Coturnix japonica: one gene and its partner. The protein of the gene in region 1 purifies or fractionates together with the protein of each later gene. This does not show direct contact. Links are inferred from orthologs where the notes say so. Each region holds a gene or a part of one and is shown on either strand. Other genes may lie near its edges.

Region 1 (3,147 bases):
CCGAGAGGTGTGTTCGGTGGCAATCTAGCACCAGCATGCCCTTGCTGTTCTGGCACTCGGTGTGCTTCTGCCACACTCGTGACGCCCACAGCTCCATGACCTCGTCATCGCTGTAGCCATTCTCCTTCGCTTCCAGTATGATGGATTCAGGCACGTTGGCGGGCTGCTGGACGTGACCTCTGTAGAAGACCAACGTGGGAAGAACGCTCCCGTCAGCAAGGATGGTGAGGACCACGTCGCACCAGGGCTCACCAGTCCCCACCGTCTGCAGAGCGTTCTCCTTCTTGTCGTCACTGCTCAGCACCTCCACGTCAAGGAAGAGGGAAATCTCGTCGATGGCTGCGATCATGGAGAGGGGCAGGTCCTGCGTGTGGATCTGCCTCTGCACAAACTCGATGAAGCAGCCAGCGTTGTCCTCCACCTCTTTGGGGAGCGAGTGGGCCACTGCCCTCCGCGTGTGCATGCTGAGGTTGTGCCGCAGCATGAACCGCACGGCCCATTCGTAGGAGATCTTGAAGCCGCCCTCCAGGGAGCGGCCAAGTTTGGTGGCCTTCTGGAAGAGCGTCTCCTCATTGACGGGCAGCTGCTGCTCCCTCTGGGTGAGCACCCACTCTGCCAGCTTCTCCTCGGCCTCCAAGCTCAGGTATTTGCCCTCCGACAGCGACGCCAAGTTCTCCTCTTGGAAAGCCTGGAACCTCCGGAGCCAACGCTTGATGCGCCGCTGTGGGTTCCTGAAGTGCTCGGCCGCCTGCTCAGTGCTGTAGCACAATGCAAACAGAACCACCCGCAGCTTCTTCACCGACAGCTGCTCCTTTTTGCTCGCAGGTTCGGTCTCCTTCATTGGCTGCTCGTCTTCCTGAGCATCGATATTTAAGCACTCTTCCTCCTGGCAAAGCAGGGGCTGGGTGTGGGCTGCCAGTGCCACTTCAGGCTCCAGGTCGTCCTTCGCGGGTAACACAGACTTAGTTTTCACAGTAGCAGCTTTACTGGGGGAATAGGCAGGGCACGTGTTCTTCATGCTTCTGTCCTGGGGCTGAATGTGCCTTGAAGGGAGAGAACACAGTGCCTTCTTAAAACCAAGGAAATAAAACCACAGGAGGGAAAACAAGCAACCAACCTCCAGACTGCAACAGATGATAGGAGAGTTCACAAAGAGTTTACCTGGAATGTGATATCCAAGTAGGCCCTGCGAGAAAAAGACAAAGACAGTTGTGGCTTTGCAAACAAGCAACAAGTCAGTGCAAATACACTGTGCTTTTGCAGAGATAAGGCTCAGGCATCTCTATCTGCTGCAAGAACCAGATGCTCATTTGACCCCCTCCCTTCCTTGAGAGGTCTTGCACCCATATCCAAACCAATGAGATCTGCCCAGTAGTGCAGAGCAGCATCAGAACCCACCAAAACCAAAATCCATCAGAAATAACACCAGGAGTTTGGTTTGGAAAGCTCAACTTCAGCCAGATTGCTGCAGGCAATGACCTTCAGTTTTGCAAATTGCACTTATGGGTACGATTGCTGGAACAGCAGCTCCAGGCCCCATTCAAAGCCCAACATCAGCAGCTGCTCCAGGCCTCTCCGTGTCACAGAGGTACAATGATGTCTCAGAGGAACAGAGCAGCTCGCTGAAGCCCTCCGTATTGTTCTTTCCTGGGAATATCTCCTGAGATCTAAGCTGCGCAGCTGAGCTCAAGCTGACAGCCTCACTGGAGGCTTAGCTCTCATCTCCATAACAATTGTGACACATTCAGCAACTACAGAAGGTCCCCAAGCTGCATTTTATTGAAGCTCAGCAGTCAGTGAGTGCTTGGCCACACCGGTGTTTGAGCTGGGCTCTAGGAACTCACAGGTTATGTCTTTCATTCATTATTTCAACTTTTCTGCTCCTTTTCCAAACTCCTACCTCGGAAAACAATGTTGCTGAACTCGTGTGATGGGTTGAAGACCAAATGCTTGGCCATCACATCACCCTCTGATGATGCAAAGAGGCAGGAGGAGCAGCACAGTTTCACGCCACTGTACAAGAAGAAAGTGAACTTCGTATCAGCATTTGCTATTAGAAGAGATGTATGCCCATACCAGGGACAAAACATCCCTCTCAGCGCTGCAGTGTCCCCTCCCTAATGTACTGTCCTCCATCTGGAAGGCAGGGGTGGTTGCCTTCACTTGACCTATGTTACTGCATTGCAAATATTAAGCAGTGCTTCTTAAGCAGACGTGAAAGTAAAGAACACAACAGATCAGGAAATGAATGCACACCAAATCCCCGGGTGACTGAAGTGAGATGACAAGTCTTCCCTTACCAGGCAGTGTAGTTCTTGAACAAAGCCAAGTATTTGGGACTCTTCCTGGGAACGTGGTTGCTGTATGACAAAAGAGTTAATGAAACATCAGAATTATTCCAGGTATCTGAAGGGCTATATAAAACTGTGTGAAACCTGGCATGTTTACAAAGACAGACCCAACCCTGGTTTCAATCATCCTATTTTGTCTTTTATTTAAAGAAACAAAACTCCTGATCTGGGGTCTAACAAAGGTCCTGCGCAGGTTTATAGAACCATGGCATAACCTTCTTTTCATTTACTTTTAAATTGTATTTTTAATGTGAATACAAGACTTTAGCAAGAAATCCTAGAAGCCTGGAACAGTGAGCTTGCAGTACACAGGCTGATAGCCATAGTACTGTGTGGGGAACGAATCCTTCAGCTTTTGCACTCATTTTCCCATCTTATCCCAAAGCCATCGCCCACATCCGTGCTGACAGAGAACGCACACCTTACAGAACAGGCAATGGACTGGAATTTTGTGGAACCCCCTTTGTGGGACACTACCACATTCAGCCAGGAGGGATTTCTGTGCCATCACACCTACTTGATCATGTGGTTGGCGTACGCTCGGGAGCAGCACGTGCTGTAGCGGCACAGCGAGCAGTGGACGTAGGTGGGGAAGTGGTTTGGGAAGTCAGGGATCTCAAAGCTGCACTCCAGGCAGGTCTGCCTGCCCAGGACACTCCTGAGAAGAGAGGGACATAGCCATCAGTGGGGAAAGGCATCTGCAGCAATAACCACCAACAACAGGACACACATCCAGCTTCCTGAAGTTAAACCGGTCTCATCCTGCACCAAAGCATTTCAGGGTGCCTCAATGCCA
Region 2 (4,722 bases), on another chromosome or scaffold:
GTCAGGTCCCAACCCACAGGTGCAGGACACACCACACTACACTGATTGGAGCTGAGGCTTCTCACCACTCTGCAACTACACAGTGCTCTGGATTCCTTAATTGCTATTTCTGCATCCCCTCCTGCTTTCCTCACTTTGCACGACTGTGACACACAAACCACAAATACAGATATAACCAAACAGAACCAATTAATTCAGTAAGAATACATTACAAGTGAAGGAGAAGCTTGAAGCCCTGCACTTACACTTGCCCTGTCCACACAACCTGCTTCTACTCAAGACAAAGCACTGACAAGAAAAGAAGCAAAGAAGCCTCCACTAAGATTCTGGAGTTTGTAATACTAAACTTTAACCAAGGGCAGACAAAGCTTCTTCAGATTTTTCCAAGACGTTAAGATTTCAATCTGAACAGCAAAGTGCTCCCGTCCACAAGCATCAAGCACAGTAACAGTGCTGGTGCCAGCTCAGCTCTTAGCTCGACCACAGCTTTTTGCTGGCCTATAAGGGACACAGATCAACACCCAGGACTCAAGTGAAAATCTGATGAAGGGACTCAGCTTGTGTTGAGCTGAGCAACAGGAACAGCCCAAACCCAGCAGGACTTACGGCCACTCCAGACCTAGTTCCAGGATTCAGCATCTCATTGCTTGTCACAATCCCAGTGCAGGATTAGCCATTCATCCCAACACCTCTCACAAACCTCCCAGTGGCATAAAAGAAATCTGCAGGAGACATTGTGCGCCACCAAAAATAGGCCCACAGTGTTAGGCACAACACAGTGACTCTGGCAACTAACAAAATGTCTCCATTTCTCAATCTCATTTCAATCCCATAGTTACAGGTTCTTTTTAACATGATGTGCAGAATTTCAGAATATGGCAACATGCAGACTGATGTATCATCCTTCAAAACCAGTCCATCCTGGTTCTCACTGACAAAAGGAGCTATACTTCTCTCCCTCTTGATAAAGAATTGATCATAATGAGAGACAAGCAGAGAATGAGGATGTGCAAAGCACATCAGGGGCGCCAGTGCAGCTTTGAAAAGGAAGTTATACATTTTATACGATACCCTGTATTTGCATTGTTTTCTCCAGATCCAGCGGGACCTAAAAATAGTGCTGCCATCCACACCATCCTGAAAAATGAGCAACAAACTAGTGTGAAGCAATGGTTTCCAGCATCCTCCCACACAAGCGTGCAACACGATTCTATCAGTTCATCAAGCAAATGATGAAGTAAGCCCATACTCCTAGAAATGTCTTCCTCAGATAATCCTCTCACTTGTACAGGGTGCCACTCATCACAGCTCTGCTCTGACAAGCCCTGTCCACTGCACAAGAAAGATGGCTGTTCACTTCCATTGGTGGAAGCTCAGGCAAAGACTTCAGCCACATTCTCTGTCAATGGAGATGGTTGACTGTAAAGTTAGTACCCAGCACCAGACACCAGGATACAGCTGCACCATGGCTTCTACCAGCAGGACCAGATCAGACTGCAGCTGTATTTAGGCAAAAGGGAAAGTGACACACTCCTGCAGTGCCAAGAAGTAGACAGGAGCACTCTTGTGGCAACACCCTGCTTCTCCTAAACCTGTGCAATGGCTGACAAGAAACAGAAGCTCAGATCCCACAGGCAGCGATGAAGCGGAGCAGGTGCTTCCCAATGTACACAGAGGAGATGTGAGGGTTGGCTCCAGCACACAGGGAACAAGAGGCAGCACCATGCTCTTGCTACCCCACAGAGCCCACAGAAACCTGACTACTCACAGCCACGCTGCCAACACCAGCAATCACATTTGTGCAGTGTTCCATCAGCAGTGATTGCTGGGTCCAGCTTTAAAACTGCACTAGGAGAGGAGGCTCCGACACCCTGACTTTGCCAGCCACCAACACTGAGAGATGTGCTGGGAGAGCATGCACTTGGTCCAGCAAGGGGGCTCTTGCACGATGAAGTCCCAGGTTCAGCTCAGAGGAAAACTGAACAGTGTCATCAGTGCTTGATGCTGAAGGCTTTGAGAACATGAAGGATGCAGCACTTCACCTACCTCATGGGCCTTCTGTCTTTGCTAGGACAAGTCTGCAGAGCAACGTGAGTTCCTAGTACAAGAACGAGGGGCAACCTAAAGTACTAAGTATCTGACATACCTACATCAAGATTAAGGATAAGAAATTACCGTTTCATATCATTCAGACAGGGCAGTGTAACTCCGTATTAGCAATAATGCGCTGTTAGCTTCCAAAACTGACCTCAAAACAACGTACTTCTGCAGAGCTGAGCTGGTGAAGCGGCACGGGACCAAGGAGCACACACAGGCACGCTGTACCATACCCTTCCCGCGGTGACCTCGAGCTACGAACTCCACCTGCATTACACCGAGACAAAATTCGACGTGAGGACGGCTGAGGGAAGGGAAGAACGAAGTCGGAATCTCCACCTCCCTGCCACAAATCGCACAGCTCGGCCCCAGCTCCGGCTCCCGGCAGTGCCGACTTACAGCCCCGGTGCGGCGGACCCTCCCTCCCCGCGGGGCCCGGCTCGGCACGAGGCCGGCTCCGATCGCCCCGAACGGCTGCGGGGTTCCAGTGGGGGCGAGGCCGGGAGGCGTCGCCTGCGGGGGCCCGGCACATCGCCGCCTCCCGGCCTCGCCCGCACTCGAACCCCGCAGCCCCCCGCCCTGCGGCCCCGAGGCGGCCCCGACCGAGGGGAAGGCCCCGGCCCGCCGCCCGGGGCGGAGAGGAGCCCGCTCGGCGCCTGAGGGCGGCGGGAAGGGCCTCCCCGCTCTCACCGCACTCACCGCCGAGGCACCTCCAGCGGCCGGGCGCAACACAGGACACACGGCGGCGGGCCGGGCCGGGCCGGCTTCGCTAGCGGGCTCGGGCCGTGCGAGGGGCGGGGAGGAGGAGGAGAAGGAGGGGGCGGGGGGACGGGGGGGCGCCGTGAGGAGGCGCGCAGCCGAATGGCGGCCGCCTCACCGCCCCCCCGGGCCCGCCCGCCGCCCAACAGGAAGCGCCGGCGCCGCGCTCAGTCCCGCCCCTCGCGGCCTCCCGCCTTCTCGGTCAGGTGGTGCTGCCGTAAGGCGGAGCGGCGGCGGGAGGCGGGAGCATCCTGTCAGCTATGGGACGTCGTGCGGGGTTGATGTGGGCTACGCCTTCCAAGAGCTAAATTACAATTAAATTAAATTACAGATCTAACCTGCATCAAGCAATGAACCTCTTGTTTGCGGTGACACCTGCACAGAATGGGCTTAATTCACACGAACCACGCCCCCTTTGTCAGTTCAGTGCCCTGCTTCAAACCAGCAGGAGGATGGTCTCATGGCTGTGCTGGGTTACCTGCTCTGCCCTAATGTGCTCTGCTGGCCTCTATAGTGCTCACATGAGCCCTTCTGTGTCTAACCTGCGTTGGTGGTGGGGTTGCTAAAGCAGCGCTAAGTGAAGCTGTCTTTCTTGGGCCAGTAAAAGCTTTGGGTCAGGAAACACTCCTTTAAGCACTGCAACAGGCTCCTCAGGGAGGTGGTTGAGTCACCATCCCTGGATGTGCTTAAAATCCCTTTGGATGTGGTGCTCGGAGACACAGTGGAGCAGAGAGCTGTTAGTTAGGGTACTATGGGTAGGCTGTGGTTGGACTCCATAATCTTTAAGGTCTTTTCCAACCTGAGCAGCTCTATGATTCCATGATTGTAAATATTTCATAGAATCACAAGGTTGGAAATGACCTACACAACCATCTAGTCCAGCTGTCCTGGTCTCATAGTTTCGTACCGATCTCTTAAAAACATCTTTAAAATGTTTGGTGTTGCTGTCTATAGGTTAGGAGGAATGAGCATCGTGGTGTCCTCACTGCAGGAGACACATGAGCTCTGCTGTCGGTCTCCTCACCCAGCAAAGGTCTCCAAAAACTGCTTCTGCTTTCACTTTCAGATAGAATCCGCATACAAACCTCAGCAGTGCTGAAACATTAGCCCAAGCCTGTATTGTTTTGTGAAGGGCTGGTGGTTGTCTCCATGATCTGTCGTAACATCAGGTGGCATTTAGCAGTGATCCGTCACAGCTCAGAGCCCACACAGAGGCAGTGTGTTTGGCAGCACTTGTGGCTAAAAGTCCATACTACCTCTGTGTAGGTATCAAGGGAACAGGTTGGCACCACAGTAAGAAATAGGACAACAGAAAGTGAGTGAGGCTATCAGGGTGGTGACGATTTGTGTTGAAGAGACAGCGCTATATTGTAAAAACAAGGAAGCAGATGGAACCAAAATCAGCTGTGATGTAACTAGATACAATTCCCTTTTTTCTCAGGGAAGCTGGATCTACTTTCAGCAGAGCTGAATTTGCAAAACAAAGTTGCTATTGTGGAAATAAAGCTCTCACGCCACAGTGACTGTGTACAAAGACAGGCTGCAAGCCTGCATTTATTTTGTGTCATCAGGAGGCGCGTAGGAAAAAGAGCAAGCACTGAGCAGGTGGCAGCTCCTCCCACCCGGCTTCCCCTGTGAATATCAATGTTCTGGATACCCTGTGTGTGCAGATGTGTAAACCCAAGGCCAGCTTCGCTGCAATCAAACAGAATGCAGGTGTCCTTTGGACAAAAAATGCTAAGCATGTGAGGATGTGCATAATTTCTTCTCTAGCTCTTGTGGGTTCCTCTCACAAACAAGACTCCTGCTTGAGCCAGCAAGGCTCTGCCCATGTCCTCTGGGCAGCTGAATGGGTTGGAAATGGTT

The links. Proteins that work in one complex are often made in the same cells at the same time.
Region 2: the proteins of POGZ (region 1) and CHAMP1 purify together in Homo sapiens (affinity purification with mass spectrometry; 4 studies listed by BioGRID and IntAct, with this or other methods). This does not show direct contact. The link is inferred for Coturnix japonica from reciprocal best matches to the Homo sapiens genes POGZ and CHAMP1.

Annotation. Positions count from the first base shown.
Region 1 is NC_029540.1:2,371,344-2,374,490, reverse strand, and holds part of POGZ (pogo transposable element with ZNF domain), read right to left. Parts: intron 3,010-3,147; coding exon 2,869-3,009; intron 2,361-2,868; coding exon 2,301-2,360; intron 2,014-2,300; coding exon 1,901-2,013; intron 1,187-1,900; coding exon 1,162-1,186; intron 1,044-1,161; coding exon 1-1,043. UniProt on the Homo sapiens protein: Plays a role in mitotic cell cycle progression and is involved in kinetochore assembly and mitotic sister chromatid cohesion.
Region 2 is NC_029516.1:123,375,418-123,380,139, forward strand, and holds the start of CHAMP1 (chromosome alignment-maintaining phosphoprotein 1), read right to left. Parts: upstream 2,975-4,722; 5' UTR 2,797-2,974; intron 2,365-2,796; 5' UTR 2,264-2,364; exon of another isoform or gene 2,249-2,263; intron 1-2,248. UniProt on the Homo sapiens protein: Required for proper alignment of chromosomes at metaphase and their accurate segregation during mitosis. Involved in the maintenance of spindle microtubules attachment to the kinetochore during sister chromatid biorientation.